3 linked regions of the Tribolium castaneum genome follow. The protein of the gene in region 2 purifies or fractionates together with the protein of the main gene of each other region. This does not show direct contact. Links are inferred from orthologs where the notes say so. Each region holds a gene or a part of one and is shown on either strand. Other genes may lie near its edges.

Region 1 (6,145 bases), on a different chromosome or scaffold from region 2:
GATATTTTCATAATTTGTGAAACGTTAATTTATTAATAAATTATTTTCATTCATTGTATTTATTTTTTCTTTATATTTATAATACTAACAAAATTTTGCAATTAAACACATTTAACTGATTTTCAATAAAATCGGTTATGTGTGTTTAAATTGTAAAAAAATAAAAAAATTAAATTAATTGTGTAAATAATAAAATATTTAAATTTGCCGCCAATTTTAGTTCCTCATACTACCAAGATATGGCGCTATTATCGAAATTTTGACGACCAGTGAATTACGTGTTACTTGATTTTCTATAACTACTATATTCTATGCATTCAGCAGACAGCTGTCATCTTTTTACGAAGTTGATAAATTCGGTGATAAGCCGTGAAGTAATTAGAGCAAGTTGTTAGTTTATAGTTTCGTGTGGTGAAAATGTCGTACGCGTATCTGTTCAAGTACATTATAATAGGTGACACAGGTGGGTGTTGCTTCGGGTAATTCCCGTAAAAAATCATAATCGATTCGTTTAATTTTCTTGTATTTTGCGTATAACTCGTTTGTATTATTCATCTTGGATGGGTGTCAAGGTCTGTCTTTGTGTTTTAAACTTGTCCGGGATTCTGATTGGGGGAGGTGGAGTGTGTTTGGCATTCATTAAAATCAGCTTGATATGCTTATCGGACGTAAAGTAAACAATGGGGTTACAGGTGTGGGCAAGTCTTGCCTGTTACTACAGTTCACGGACAAGAGGTTCCAGCCAGTTCATGATTTGACAATCGGGGTGGAGTTTGGCGCTCGAATGATCACCATTGATGGCAAACAAATCAAATTACAAATTTGGGACACTGCCGGACAGGAGGCTTTTAGATCTATAACGCGGTCGTACTATCGGGGGGCTGCTGGCGCTCTTTTAGTTTATGACATTACGAGGAGGGAGACTTTCAACCATTTGACTACATGGCTTGATGATGCCCGCCAGCATTCCAACTCAAATATGGTCATCATGTTGATTGGAAACAAAAGGTGTTCATCCCGTTTTATTTTTTTTTTTTTCAAAAGTGTTAACTAAACCCTTCCAGTGATCTAGAGAGTAGGAGAGAAGTGAAAAAGGAAGAAGGAGAAGCTTTTGCCAGAGAACACGGACTAGTCTTTATGGAAACTTCAGCAAAAACGGCCGCCAACGTTGAAGAAGCGTTTATAAACACAGCAAAAGAGATCTATGAGAAAATACAAGAGGGAGTCTTTGACATTAACAATGAGGTAAATCAGCGGTTCTGCTCTGTTAAGCTAATTGGCATTTTCTAAAGGTTACACAAACTTTAGAAATCAATAATTTTATACATTAGCAAGTTCATTACCCCATTTTTGGTGATACTTTCTTCTGACTTTGAAATTAAGTTGGCAGCTTGAGACGTCACACGTATAGTGCTGCCAACTCAAATTCACAACTATTGTGTTTTAAATTTTGTTGTTGAAATTGTGCAGGCAAATGGAATCAAGATTGGCCCCCAACATTCCCCCACAAATCCATCGCTTCCTGGTGCAGGCGGCGCCGGGGGTTCGCAGGGTTCGAGTTGCTGTTAAGATGACTTGTCTGTCTTGAGGGTTACATTATGTGTAAGAGAGAAACCCTTATTAAAGAATTGAAAGTGACTGCACAGGTTTATTACATAAATTAATGATCTGATATCTTCCAAATTAGCAAGTTGCACTTTACCCCATCGTTCAACAACCTTTAGAGACAAAACTTTTCAAATATTTTGATACATATGGTGATATTGGCCCCCACTAATTTATGTAATGAAAGGATTATTATTGTGATTATTTTAAGAGTGTGGTATAGTTAGTCCAATACAGGTCACATATTTATTGTTTTGAGTTCATATTTTATAGAGTACCAACCGAAAAGCCGTTTCAGAAGCATTACATCTTACTTTAAACCAACTTTATTTTTGTTATTGGTGATAATAGTGTTATGTGTTTTATTGCGACTATTATACTTAATTAAGAAATGTAGTGTTTATCTCATTAAATAAATTTGTATTGTAAAACGTCAAATTTTTTATGTAAGCTTCATGTAATATAATCAAATATAAGTTGTATTGCCAGTTTGTGTTTGTTTTACCCAAAATTTGAAACGGGCGCGTGAGTAATGGCACCCGGAAGTGCACGCGTCGTCCAATCAGGCCGCGTTCTGCGTTCATGAGTGAAGTCGTTTCCGTGCAAGATGGCGGAAAAAACTATGTGCATATCACAGCAACAAACAAAACCTATAAAAATTTTAAAATGGAAAGTGAGCGAAGGGAACACTGTCTCGATCGGAAGAGTAATCCTTCTGTATGATTTTGACGGGGCTTCCAAGGTGGAACAACGCAAGTTGAAGGTAACACAGGCCGGAACAATTTTTAAGATTGTGGCGCAGGAAGGCGCCATTGTCAAGCCAGGGTAAGCAACAGTTTTGAAAAGGCGCGCGAAAGCTCACGCTCGAATTTTCAGCGAGACTTTGTGCGAATTGAAAGAATGCACGCATCCGACGGTGATGAACGACATGTGCGCAGAATGCGGCACGGATTTGAGGAAAAACGACGTCAGTGTGGCGGCTTCCGTGCCCATGGTGCATGCCATACCTGACTTGAAAGTCAGCGAAGAGGTGGTTGCGTTATATAAAATGCCGCTGCGGGGGTTTGACTTGCATTGTTGCAGCTTGCACAGAAACTCGGCAAAGCGGACGTTGATCGGCTTATTAGAGACAGGAAACTTGTCCTGCTTGTGGACTTGGATCAGACCTTGATCCACACAACCAATGACCACATTCAGCCGAACATCAAGGATATCTATCGCTTTCAGTTATACGGGCCCAATTCACCTTGGTACTTCACAAGGTTGAGGCCCGGAACCCATCAGTTTTTGAACAATATTTACCCGTTTTACGAGCTGCATATTTGCACCTTTGGCGCAAGGAATTACGCACATATGATTGCTGCGGTTCTGGACAGGGACCAGAAGTTTTTCTCAAATCGTATTCTCTCGCGGGATGAGTGTTTTGACCCAACTAGCAAAAAGGCGAACTTAAAGTACGTATTTGAAAAGAAAAATCTGAAAAATCATTCCGTTATTCCTGTTTTTTGAGTCTTTCAAAATCATAAGTAAATAGTTTTTCTCTTCAAGTGTTTTTGAATCACTTTGCATATGTTCACTCTACCATATTTGAGTGTAGAAGGTCTAGCTTTCGAAAAAAAAAAGGCAAAAATGAGACCAGGATGAAAAACTTGATAAATTCGGACAAGAAAGCAAAATTAAAAGTAATTTTTGCCTTAATTACTCTCAAATCGAAGGTACTTTAAGACGAACTTGCACAATAAATAAATATATCGGATTAAAAATTTAAAACCAACTTGTTAAACTGAGAGAAGCAAGCTAAAGTAACAGTTTCGATCTAATTTTCTAGTCTTAGACTATCTTCGTGATATTTAAAACAACAATTGTGCTAAAAGTTCGCGAAAATATTTTTTTATATTTTTTGATACGCTGTGTTACATAATTTTTTATATTTAGGGCTCTATTTCCTTGCGGGGACAACATGGTGTGTATTATTGACGACAGAGAGGACGTGTGGTCGAACGCCGCAAATTTGATTCATGTCAAGCCGTACCATTTTTTTCAACACACCGGCGACATAAACGCACCCCCTGGTTTAGACAAACATGAAAATGATAACAAGGGAGTTGATTTAACAAAAATTAAAGACCAGAAAAAAGACGAACAAATCCAGAATAACGATAGTAAAGCGACAGAAAATGACAGTGAGAAAAATGGTGAAAATGTCGAGGAAAGTAAAGTTGAGAATCAGGTTTCAAATGAATCTGAGAGTACAAAAAACGAGAGTAAAGAAAATACCGAAGATAGTGAAGGAAATAATAAAGTAGATGAAAATAAAAACGGTGACGACAGTAGCGAACAAAAAATTGAAAATGTTGAATCTAAAGGTGTGAATGGTGAAGCAGTAACTAATGACGAAAAGCCTCCACCTGAAGAAAGTAAAACGCAAACGGAAGGGGACACCAAAACTGAAACCCCTCCGGAAACAAAAAACGCAATCGAAATAAACAATCATTTAGTAGAAGTTGAAGACCCCGATGACTATCTCTCCTATCTAGAAGATATACTAAAACGTATTCATCAAGCTTTCTATGACGCTTATGATAAAATGGAATCGGGAGAGGTTCCCGACTTGAAGAAGGTGATTCCCGGGGTGCGAAGTCAGGTGCTACAGGGCTACAAGCTGGTTTTTAGCGGGTTGGTGCCAACTCACATCAAATTAGAACAATCAAAAGCGTACCAAATCGCCAAGAGTTTGGGTGCTGAAGTTACGCAAGAGCTGGAGGACGACACGACACATTTGGTGGCTGTTAGGCCAGGCACTGCTAAGGTGAACGCCGGCAGAAGAAAGAAGAACTTGAAGATTGTTACACCCGATTGGCTGTGGTGTTGTGCAGAACGGTGGGAGCACGTAGACGAGAAGATTTTTGCTTTGAATAGCAAAGGCTCAAAAAACCGGCATCCACCGCCTCATTGCAGCAGTCCAGAGCATATTATAAGTTATCCAGAGCACAATACGCCCGCTATGCGAAAAAGGACACCCAGTGGAAGGTTTATGGACACGATTAATCCTCTCATGTCGTTTTCCAGCGCAGATATAGCGGATATGGATAAGGAGGTAAGGTTAAAAATTAGGTGAAAGGGGAATACGTTTATTGTGTTCCTAAACCGGACACTAGGGTACCAGCTATAGAAAAAAAGCGTTGTCCATAAAATCTTAATTAAATTTGCAGCAACCAAGACTTTTATTTAATAAAAAATCGTCAATTAAAAATAATGTAGGGCGACGAATTTGTTTTCAACCAACTTCAGTTAGGATCTTCTTTATCTGACAAACTGGTCGAAAGTCGGCAATTAGTTTTATTCAGTTTGACATTTTGTTTTATAATTACAAACGTTTTTTTTTTTTGGTACTCTTGCCTTTTGCGGTTGGGGGCAATGTAATTATGAATATTTGTTCAAAATTGTAATTAAAAAATGGTTGGTTGATGCAAATTCTCACTTTATTTAAAACAGAAAAATAGTTCGTGCATGTCTTTGTTGCCCCTTTGAGGTTGTCGCTGATGGTTTAATTCTTCCACAGGTTGAAGACATTTTGGACGACGAAAGTGATAGCAGCGACGAAGAGAAGAACGCGAAAGCAACTGTTGTCAATTCTGAAGAAGTACACGAAAATAGTAGCAGTAGTGACGATTCTCTAGGTGAACATCCAAAAGGCTTCAAGAGAAAAAGAGAAGGTGGGGACGAAGCTGAAATTGATCTCAATAATAGTACAGAAGATGATGAAACGCCTAGTGTCAAGTTCCGAAGGGGAGAGACTGTAGATAGTGAAGTGGATATGGAACCTGATTCGCAAGATAGTGACGGAAGTGTGGAAGCTCCAGACGAAGTGGACGATGGAGAGTGGAATATGATGGGTGCCGCCCTTGAACGAGAATTCTTGTCAAATAATTAGAAATAATTTTTTAAGCCATCGATTATTTTTTTAGACTTGCAGTATTAATAGTAACAATGAAATCTGTTACCTGAATAATTTCACGCTGAAGGATTCTTATTTATATATATAGAATGTTAATGTAATTATTTTTAATTGAATGCTGTGCAGAGTTTCAAATAAAGACTGTTGACAACTTACTTTTTAATACAACTACTTGAACAACAATAAAGGTTTTAGACGGCATAAGGATCGTCTTTTCCTGAATCGTGGTACTTGATGTATGTTTGTACATGAGTGAAGTCTTTCTTGTCTTCTTGCCAGCCCCTTGGTGGTGCTTTATCATATTTAAATGCTCCTTCCTTTTCACCATACACCTTGTTTACCGAATCAACGAAATCTCTGTACTTTCCGGCAACAACCTTTTTCCCTGTGACCGGATCAGTTATATCCCCCATCGGATATACAACTTTCTTAACAGCATGTGTAATTAACCTTGTCATTTTGGTTGGAAGTTGTTCAATAAGAACGATATCTCCGGTCTTGCATATCTTGTTGGGATCATGTGCGTACACAAATTCTTCCTTACCAAAGTACTGAAAGCACCAGTTTTTAAAGCTCCCACAA
Region 2 (4,181 bases):
CGAACTGCTCCTCTTGGTCGCCGATGCGTTTCGATTCGGCGTCCTTGTACGAGCGGTAAAACACAGATCTAAAGCACAAAATAACAAATTATTTTATTTCTACTATATTACTTTTTTTTAATACTCACCGGAAAAATCCCCTTTCGACGGCCGACGCGTTCAAAATAACCGAATCCTCCTGGTTATAACCGGTGTAACACGCAATGGCCACGATGCTGTTAATCCCAGCCGGTAATTCCCTGAATCTGAGATATTCCATTGATCTGGTTGTAACCAACGGTTTGTGGGGGTAATACAGGACGTGGGCAAGGGTGTCCATGCGGACATGGAAGTTGGTGATGTACACACCCATGGCTTGCTTGCCCATAGCACTCTGAGGAAAAAATTAATTACTAAAAAAATTCAAACAACACCAAAACAAATACTTGATATGTGTTTCTGGGACTCTGGTTGTGATCCGGGAAGGGTATAATACTGGCACAAACACCCAAAATCATAGCTGGATGGATCTCACAATGTGTGTAAGTGGTACAATACGCGTATTCCTTCTCCTGTCTCAAATCGTCCGGAGACATCGCAATCATCACAGTCTCCTCTTCCAAAGTATCGATATATTCGACAACCCCTGAAGCCACCAAAACCTGCCACCCGTAGTTATTATATTCCCTCTCTTTCAACATATCAATGTGGCGCTTCTTCAACAATAAAGTCCCATTTTCCACGATTAGTAACGGCCGACAAATCCGTCCAGCATCCGTGTAAATGCGAATCTCCCGGTCCCGAATATCCCGAATCATGGAAACCTCCGACACAATAATATCCATCTGTCTCCTCAACTTGCGTAACGTCGCCATCAACTGTTCGGGGTCCCTGTGAATTCCCACCCAGCAACCATTAACAAAAATCTTGGTCGCGTTGGCTATGGCAGACGGCGCAATCTCCTCCAAATTCTCCATCGACCACTCCTCCAAAAACTCCAAAATTGGAGAGGGTTGCGACCCCACCGAAATATACGCCATGAGGGCCAGATTTTTCACCAGACCAACAGCCGCCCCTTCTGGTGTCTCCGCCGGACAAATCATCCCCCAGAGCGTGTTGTGCAACTGTCGGGGCTTCGCCAACTTCCCGTCACGTCCAATGGGCGAATTAACACGTCTCAAGTGCGACAAAGTCGAGGCAAAAGTCAAACGGTTCAACACCTGCGAGACACCGGCTCTGGCCTGGTGGGCCTTCTTCTGGTCCCCCCAGTTACCAGTCGCCAGAGAATACCTCAACCCGTCCGTAATCAACTTAGTCTTAATGGCCAAGTCGAGGTTAAAGTCTTTGCCCCGATCAATAAATTTCTGGGCATACATCCGTACTTCCTTCATCAAGTTTTTAAACAACCCACGGAACAAAAACGCAAGCAGGGGCCCCGCCAAGTCCAGTCGTTTGTTACCGTAGTGATCCCGATCGTCCAGCTCGCGGCGCCCCAAAGCCGCCAGGAGCAACCGGTGCACCATGTACCCCAAAAAGTAGGCTTTTTTCGTCTCGCAAAAATCGGACACTCCAACGTGGGGCAGCATCTCCTTCTGGAGGATCTCTCGCGCGTATTTGATACGCTTTTCTTTGGTGACGCCCGGCCGGGCCCCCCTGGTCCCAATGAAGTTGAGTGCGATGTTCTGTTCCTGGATCACGAACGCTTCGTCCAGGGACGGTTTCACCATTTCCATCATCTCGGGGTCTTCGAAGTCGTAAATAATGTGCTCGAGGATGTCCCGATCGGCCACGAACCCCAAGGCCCGGAACACGATCATGATGGGGATCTCCTGCTTGATGTAGGGCAAGATCGCGATGATTCGTTGCCCGATGGCGGCCTTTTTGATCGCCTGGCCCCCACGTGCCATCATGTTGACCCAGAGGGTGGACGTGGGGCGCGAGCTGTGCTCGAGACAGGAGCGGATTTCGGATTTGAAGGCGTATTTCCCGTCTTTCATCGAGAAGACGTAGACGGTGTTCGTGGCCATTTTCTCCTGGGCGATTAGGACTTTCTCTGAGCCGTTGATGATGAAGTAGCCGCCGGGGTCAAGGGGGCACTCGTTGAGTTCGGTCAAGTCGCGGTCGGTTAGACCGTTGAGGAGACAGTACGTGGATCGGAGCATAATCGGGATTTTCCCGATGAAGGTTTTCTGGTGCTGGGTCTCAATGGGGTCCTCGCCGTCCTTGACTATGGTCTTGGTGATATCGACGTACAAGGGGGCCGAGTAGGTCAGGTTGCGCAAGCGGGCCTCGTTGGGCATCATGGGCGAGGGGGCGCCGTCTTTCTCCCAATGGGTCGGTTTGGATAGGTAGATCTGCTCGAATTTCAGTAAATACCGAGAGGGGTTTTCAAGCTCGCCGCTTGTGTGCTGTGCCTCGGCTTGGAGGTCGATTTGGGGCGAGTCTTCGACGATTCGTTGCACCGACATTTGGATAAACTCGTCGAAACTGTCCAGTTGTTGCCGGACGAGGCCTTTTTCGTCGAAATAGGCGTTGATGACGATCCAGCAGGCCTCTTGCCACAACTCGGAGCTGATTTCTTCAGACTCTTCATCGTCGAATTGGTCTGAAAAGCCGGTTTTTGTTACAAATGGCTCGGGGGCTACTCAAGGGGGATTGCGTACCTTCGTCTTGTTCATACATTGCTGATTATTTGCAAAAAATGGGGCACAAATGAGACGCACAAAACACAAGTTTTGAGCGTCTGTCAAGTGTCAGTTGACTTTGTATGGGGACCCCAAGAAAACCCTTATTTTGTGAAATAAATTAATATTTTATGTTCGGGGGGTAGCCCCAAACACAATACTTTGGAAAACAAATAAAAAACTTGTTAAATACGGCCCAATTTTTTATTTTCCTGCAATGACCTTGAAGTGTTACGTAACCATACAACAAAAAAGTCTCCAGATTTTCAAGATACGATGTTAAATTACACTATTCGACCAAAAAAATATTTAATAATTATCTGTAATGTGACTTAAAGGTCAGGTAAGTGGTAACAAGTCCAATTTTTTAATTATATTGCGTTTTTGATTTTTTGTGGATTGCACCACGTGACTTCATTATTGGCGCTAAATTTCAAACTCCATGGTAATATATTACTTTTTTATTAGGAACAGTCATATCATTACAATAAATAGCTTAAAACTATCACTACAATCAGACTGTGAGCAAATTTGGCTGGGTTGCTTCCTGAGCGTGCAAAGAAAAATCCGGTCCGTTTTTTACCTGCAAAATACACTCATTTTTTGTCGCCTAATCCATAAACTTACTCTTCTCGTTGGGGTCTTGTACTCCACACTGCTTGTACGCAATTTTCACCTTACGTTTCGTATTAATAAACCCTGGAATGTACAATGTGGGGGTGTCTAAACGCCCACTTGCCAGCAATCGGCTGAAATCCTGCTCTAATCGGTTAGCTAGCGGTCCTTTAAAATGCAGCAAAAGCTGGACGCAAGCGTCGCTGTGCAAAGACTTGGTTTTGCGCGAATCTACGGTCAAAAACCAGTCGGGGATTCCCAGAATTTCGCGCACTTCTTCGATAAACTGCGACAGGACAAAACGTGGGGGCTTTTCGATGTTTGCGTACTTGATTATGTCATAGTCGGGCTCGATATTGGCACAGGCGTAACGTTCGGGACGTCTGTTGGGGCTCATGATGACGATGGAGCGCCCGATTGCCGTGACGTCGCCTTCGAGCGGGAAATTCGCATCGGTGAAGACTTTGCGCTGGAGCCCGATGTCGATGGTCCCCAAACGGGCCGACAGGTCCCCCACGTGGCACCTGAGCGGGTTCTCAGGCCCGCACTCTTGCCGATAAAGATCACCCTGAAACCAGAACATTATATTATAAAATTAAAAAAAAAGCAAAATATACATTGAGGGGGTCGGCCAGTTGGGTGAAATAGGGGTTCCAGATGTAGCCCCCGGCCACACACCGCGTGTTCTGGGTCTTGACGGCCGCGTCCACGCCCACTGGGTTCACGTAAATGGCCCAGTCATGGTCCCTGGTCTGTTCAAAATAGTACCATTAAAAATAAACCACTGGAGACACGTACCACATTCCGGTCGTTTTTCCCAGGATGCCGCAGTTTGACTTCGATCGTGGTGTCACTCTTGCTACCGTCATTGTAAATTAGTTGTTTCTGCAATTGCAAAAATTA
Region 3 (5,767 bases), on a different chromosome or scaffold from region 2:
CCGATGTATTGAAAAAGCCAAAACACACAGCGCCCCCATATTACACAAATATGTAGCTTTATATGCTGCAAAATTACTCAAAGATGGTTTCGTAAAAGAAGCTTTAAATCTTTATTCAACACATGGAGCTCCAGCAATGCCACAAAATTTCAACATTTATAACCACATTGCTTCGGAAATGTTTGCTTTATCGGATATTTCAGGACCTGGAAGTTTTGCCGTTTGGGAACAACTCAGACAAATGCTATTTGAAATAGTTGAGTAGTTCCTAAATCAAATAAATTCACCAAAAATAACTAACTTAATTTGTAGAATGAAGGTTTAGCTGCTAATACCAACATGGAAACAAAGCTTCATTTTAGAAATTTGTTACTAATTAGTCACTATTATGCACTTCGTACAGCTTGTAGACAAGTACCATCATTAAAACCAATCGGTGTTAAAATAAGTACCGCATTATTACGTTACACTGATATAATACCGGCTGATAAAGCATTTTACGAAGCAGGAAAAGACTTGAAAGAGGAAGGTCGATTGTCGGAAGCTTTCGTTTTTTTGAATCATTATTTAGATTTGTGTGAAGCGATCGAAGAAGGTGAAGGACAACTTGTGGATCATTCAGATTTAGTTCAAACTGATTTTCCATCAAATATTCCACTTCCTGGACGTTTGTATCTAAGTGAAGACCCACGAGAGCATGATAATGTACGTGAATGGGTGCTGACAGTGAGCATGGACCAAAGAATTGAACAGGTATTTAGCACTAATAAAAATATTTTTTTGCTCCCTAATTGTCTTTACTAGCTTGCATTTGCAAATGAGGGAGAAACATACGAATTTCTATAAAGCGCGGCGGAAAAAGTTTATTATTAACCTTTAAATGTTAAAAAAATTAATCTTATTAACAGCTTTTACTTAACTCACTCTGTTTTCTGTCTGTCTGTTTTCTTTTCGCAGATCACTGCATTATCATTGTTTTTGAATTTTTCTTTCGGTTACTTTTTGTCGTTTATGGTTCTGTGTAATTCCGATTCTTGGGGGGTTACTTGTAAAAAATATTAATTTTTTAATTATTTAAATATCAATAATATACATCCTGTATAAATAGCTATTTACTTAATTTTTTTTCAGACGTTGCCTTTGGACGACAGACAGTTATACGAGAGTTGTTTACAACCAGGGGAACAACCGTGTGTTGTTTCCGGATATCCAGTCCGGAAACAAATTGTAACCTTTGCCAAGTCGAATTTTCAGGCAAATAAAGACGTTTGGTCGAAACTGAATATGGGTGCGAAAATGTCGCCCGAGTCAAATGTTTCGAATGTTTTGTCGTTTATTAACAAGTGGTGTGGGACAAGTCAATAAATCAAATTTATTTAAAAATTGTTTTCACAACTACAACTAGCGCACCCTGTGCTTGAATAAATATGCATCATAGTTGAAATGCTCTAATTAAAATTTAGCTAATAACGCCAGTCGACACTTAAACACTGTTGTGTGAAAAATCAATCACAATTTAAGGCATAAATAAATGTTCAGCTGAGGGTAATGGAGCTAAACCGTCGGTCACATTCGGGAGTTGCGTCAGATCGGGTAAATTCTGAATGTGAGATTTTAATTCGTTTCGAACACTATAGACTTTGATTAGTTTATCTTGATATTCCTAGAAATTTTAAATAAATAAATAAATAAAATAAAACAAAACACTGTTATTTACCTCTAGATTTTGCTCGGCTTGAGCCAACAGTTCTTGCTGCACCTGAAGAAAGTCTCGAATCATTGACGAAACTTTTTTGCGATGTTCCATTTCAACGGCGAGACGACTGTTGTACTCATTTAACAACGTCACAGCTTCGTTCACTTGTTGACTCAGTTTTTCGGCTTGCTCTTTATCTGATTTTAAAAAATATAAATTTTTGATCAAAGTGACTGAAGTTAAGTTGACAATACTGAATTACTACTTTGACAAACAATGTTGCCAAAGAACGCACAAGGAGCGCAAAAGTAATGCCATTTTTGACGTGATGTGATGAATTTTGTTTGTTTCTGGCTAAAAAATCGTGCTAAAATTTTCCAAAAAAGCTGAAATTGGTTTTTTTACAGCCAATTTAGTGCATTTTTGAACCGTTTAAAAAACGTGCTAACTCATTGAAAAAACAAAGTATTCACCGATTCTCAAATTTTTGTCTTAGAATTTTCGTGGATTAATTTGTGGAATATTTTTGGGTAGTTTTGACGAAAAATGAAAGTTTTTGTATTTCAAACAATTCAAAAAAAAAAACAAAAACAACATAATTTCCCATTTGAAAACTTGATTTCTTAGTCACCTTTAGCAAAATCTCTTGAAATAAGTGAGTTTTTGACTTAAAGTAAAAAATATTGTGCTTAACGTTTTCGAAAGATTTTGATGTATTGTCAACTTAATTTAATCACAAAACCAACCTTGCAAGCTAGCTATTGAGGAAATTTCGGTGACCGAAGGCGGCAATTGAGCAATGCGTTGCCGCACCCCTTCATCAGCGGACGCAATATTATTCTCCAAATCTTGGATTGCCTTGATTAGTTCTTCAGGTTCAGGGGGATCCCCAGCTGGCGTATGTGGACTTAAGTGCACATGCGTTTCCACCATTCCGTCCACTTCAACTGTAACCTCATGTTCAGACTTTTTCTTCTCTTTGGGTGCTTTTCCATCGGTTTTGACTTTTTTCAAAGGCGGCCCTTCTTTTTCTAAAACAATTTTCACAGCCCACTGGACCACCAACACTCAGATAACCTCACTTAACGCACTCCTAAAATCGCTAATTTGTGTCTCATTGTAAATCCCCCTCTCGCTCCAAATTGTTAATAAACGTTCTAAACTACTTATGGTTTTTTCCTCGGCGTCCGACATGTGCTCGAAGGCCTTTTTCAAGTGAGCCCCAAATTCCTGGCCATATTCGGGGCCCTTTTTGCGGCTGTTTTGAATTACATCATTTGCCAAGTACATAAATGTTAGTTTTTTGCTGTCCTTGGCTGAAATATCTCCAGTGTGGATTTGTAAAATTAAAATCAAATGTTTTCGTACCTTTGATCAGTTCTCTGCCCCATAATTTCACTACTGTACTGTAATGTTTTCTGTGATGGATTAACCAAAACGATAAGGTTTGTATACTTTGCGAGGAATTGTTTAAATCGTTTAGTTTTTTGATAAAAGCCGATTCGGTAAAGCCTGCCATTTAACACGGTTTGTATTTTTTGTAGAACTTAGGAAAAAAGTGTAAATATAACCACAAATATTGCTAATCACAACAAGTTGACATTTCGTGGTGGAGGTGGTTAGGGATACGAGACGTGGCGATTTGGATGTGAATAAGGTTGCGCCATTTTTAAAGATTGGAAAAAATTGGCTAAAATTGCATTTGCAATATTTTAGTTATAAATAATATGGCTAAAAATCATAAATTGTTTGCCTTTTTACTCGATTTAGGTAGTTTTTGTGCAAAACCAAGTCAAGAAGAATCCCAAAAATTTTGTTAGAAATAGCGTAGTTTTATAATCTTTGGTTTCATAGAAAGCTTCGTTAAATTTTAATTTGTTGATTGGTTGAATTTGATCATCACGCATTTAATTGCAGATTAAATTAATGACGCTTTTATAAACCGGTCCTAAAAGACTTTAAGCTCACTTTTGCGTTAAAATATTTGTTTTTTTACAAGAGTTTTCTAAAAAATTACCAAAAAAGCCGGAGATGACCTTACTTTTATCATTTTCAAACTTCTATTTAGCGCGTTTTTAAAATTTATGGAACTTTGCTAAAACAGACATAAAAATCACTATAAATAAAGTCAAAATACATATTAATTCTCTTACGAAATTCTTTGTAGAATAAATCGAAAAATCCCCAAATAAATATTTTTGCCTTTTTCACATTTTGTTTTTTTTTTGTAACTTTGTCATGCTAAAAATAGCCAAATTTGGGCAAAAATGGTGCTGTTTTTGACTTTTTTCAGTGCTTGAGCACGTTTTTGAGCACAAATCGTAAAATAAAATAAAAAATCTAGTAATTTTATGAATTTTATCAGTTCGAACCTAGTAAATTTTATTTTTGTGTTACATCGTAAAATGTTCCAGACAGTTCATTGGCGACCGTTAGTTCCGTTTTTTAATTTCAATTATTACCTACCTCTTTTTTTTGAATTTATTCAAAATCATTTACAAATCTGAACAAACTAACTGCAAGTCTGAAAAAATCAAATTCATAAAAGTAAAGTCTAATATCTATCAAGGATGTTGCTTGAAAATGAAAGCTGCAATAAGAGACCTAAACCTAGAATATTATACTCTCGTATTCCACTTTCAAGCCATAAACACTTTCCCACTGTCTGCTCTACACAGGTGCTCTCGAGTTGTCGGACAGTTTGTCCAACGTTTCGTTCGTGTCGTGACCATCTTCCGTAAATAAATGCGACAAAATGCGACCGCAAATAATCGCGATTTTCGCTTTGGTGCTTGCGACACAGTGCGACTCCGGAAACAACTTCAGAAATGGTGAATAAATATTCTACTTTACAGAAAAAAATAATAACACATTTCGTTTTATAATTTATTTTGTTTAACTGCAAATTTAGTGTGATCTGATATAGTCACATGTTGTCCTTCACTGCAACAATTCCAATTGTGATGTTATCTCGGGTATTAAGTTCATGTAAGGAATGTTGTCTGAGCATAATTTGAAAAATTCAATTTTCAAATGTGAGTACAAAAGTGAAATTTCATCAAACACTTTTGTTCTTATGTAACTTTCTAATGTCTGTATGTGCTTGTAAAAATACCAGACGGTTTACAAATTATAAAGTTCTGGTGATTTTTTTTTAAACTGTATTAACAAAAAATATTTGGTCGTTGATCTCACATTTCTTGGAAAACCGGTGAACAAACTTTTATGGACGTTTCAGTCATTATGAAAAAAGCGCTTGTTTATGTATCTGAGTCGGTGTCAATGAATAATTTATAAAATTGTGAAGATTTTATATAAGACAGTTCTGAAAAAATGGGATGGAATGTATAAGAGTTATGGAAAATGATAATTTTGAAATCTCTCCAAACAAAACTCTTCTTCTTATAAATTAAAAAACCTACAAATATTTTTAAGCATTTTTAATTGTTTTCTTACGTTACAAACACGTTTTGTTTAAAAAAAATTATGAGGGTTCAATGTTTAAAAGGTGAATAATTTGCCAAGAAGAATTTTAAAAATTACCAAATTTGTTTAAAAATAGCGTAATTTTTACTAATTTTCAAGACTTTAGGATTACTTTTGAATTAAGCCAGAAAAAAAAGATACTAAATAAAACCGAAAATGACTTTATTTTTACATTTTCTAGACAATTATTAGACATTTTTTCACATCAATGAATAATAGGGCCAAATAAGTCAAAAAATTGAGACAAAAATGACATTATTTACCCAGTAAATTACCCAGTATTACCCAGTATTTTTAAATACCTTTTCGAAAATTTTTGTAAATAAAAATGTTAAAAATATTAAAAAAAGATTTACATAAAAAAGCTCTAAGAAAAACTGGCTGAAATATCATAACATTTATAATTAAAACTGATTAAAATAAAGAATACAAAATTATTTCATTTTTTCTAGCCGAAAAATTATGCTTATTTGAATTTTTAATTTTCATTTAACAATTCATTGAAACCTTTTTTTTGCACTAAGCAAACTACTAATCATTAGACACAAGAAATAACAATTTTTTGCCTATACTCAAGAGTATTTA

What was found.
Region 1: the proteins of Polr2B (region 2) and Fcp1 purify together in Homo sapiens (affinity purification with mass spectrometry; 3 studies listed by BioGRID and IntAct, with this or other methods). This does not show direct contact. The link is inferred for Tribolium castaneum from reciprocal best matches to the Homo sapiens genes POLR2B and CTDP1.
Region 3: the proteins of Polr2B (region 2) and regulation of nuclear pre-mRNA domain-containing protein 1B purify together in Homo sapiens (affinity purification with mass spectrometry; 4 studies listed by BioGRID and IntAct, counting the BioPlex papers as one, with this or other methods). This does not show direct contact. The link is inferred for Tribolium castaneum from reciprocal best matches to the Homo sapiens genes POLR2B and RPRD1B.

The regions. Positions count from the first base shown.
Region 1 is NC_087396.1:10,631,919-10,638,063, forward strand, and holds Fcp1 (RNA polymerase II subunit A C-terminal domain phosphatase), read left to right. Parts: upstream 1-2,172; 5' UTR 2,173-2,212; coding exon 2,213-2,430; intron 2,431-2,481; coding exon 2,482-2,635; intron 2,636-2,688; coding exon 2,689-3,059; intron 3,060-3,540; coding exon 3,541-4,702; intron 4,703-5,167; coding exon 5,168-5,539; 3' UTR 5,540-5,718; downstream 5,719-6,145. Other genes in the region: Rab2 (ras-related protein Rab-2), read left to right, coding at 418-463, 693-1,008, 1,065-1,245, 1,471-1,569; mRpS17 (small ribosomal subunit protein uS17m), read right to left, coding at 5,755-6,114. UniProt on the Homo sapiens protein: Processively dephosphorylates 'Ser-2' and 'Ser-5' of the heptad repeats YSPTSPS in the C-terminal domain of the largest RNA polymerase II subunit. This promotes the activity of RNA polymerase II.
Region 2 is NC_087395.1:24,234,855-24,239,035, forward strand, and holds the start of Polr2B (DNA-directed RNA polymerase II subunit RPB2), read right to left. Parts: upstream 2,801-4,181; 5' UTR 2,662-2,800; coding exon 2,643-2,661; intron 2,585-2,642; coding exon 426-2,584; intron 374-425; coding exon 129-373; intron 69-128; coding exon 1-68. Other genes in the region: uncharacterized protein Rsod, read right to left, coding at 3,146-3,246, 3,291-3,846, 3,896-4,030, 4,077-4,163. UniProt on the Homo sapiens protein: Catalytic core component of RNA polymerase II (Pol II), a DNA-dependent RNA polymerase which synthesizes mRNA precursors and many functional non-coding RNAs using the four ribonucleoside triphosphates as substrates.
Region 3 is NC_087394.1:893,031-898,797, forward strand, and holds regulation of nuclear pre-mRNA domain-containing protein 1B, read right to left. Parts: upstream 3,327-5,767; 5' UTR 3,216-3,326; coding exon 3,065-3,215; intron 3,013-3,064; coding exon 2,779-3,012; intron 2,728-2,778; coding exon 2,443-2,727; intron 1,894-2,442; coding exon 1,718-1,893; intron 1,664-1,717; coding exon 1,517-1,663; 3' UTR 1,366-1,516; downstream 1-1,365. Other genes in the region: Oseg2 (intraflagellar transport protein 172 homolog), read left to right, coding at 1-256, 313-753, 1,132-1,365; uncharacterized protein tfc, read left to right, coding at 4,452-4,527. UniProt on the Homo sapiens protein: Interacts with phosphorylated C-terminal heptapeptide repeat domain (CTD) of the largest RNA polymerase II subunit POLR2A, and participates in dephosphorylation of the CTD by RPAP2. Transcriptional regulator which enhances expression of CCND1.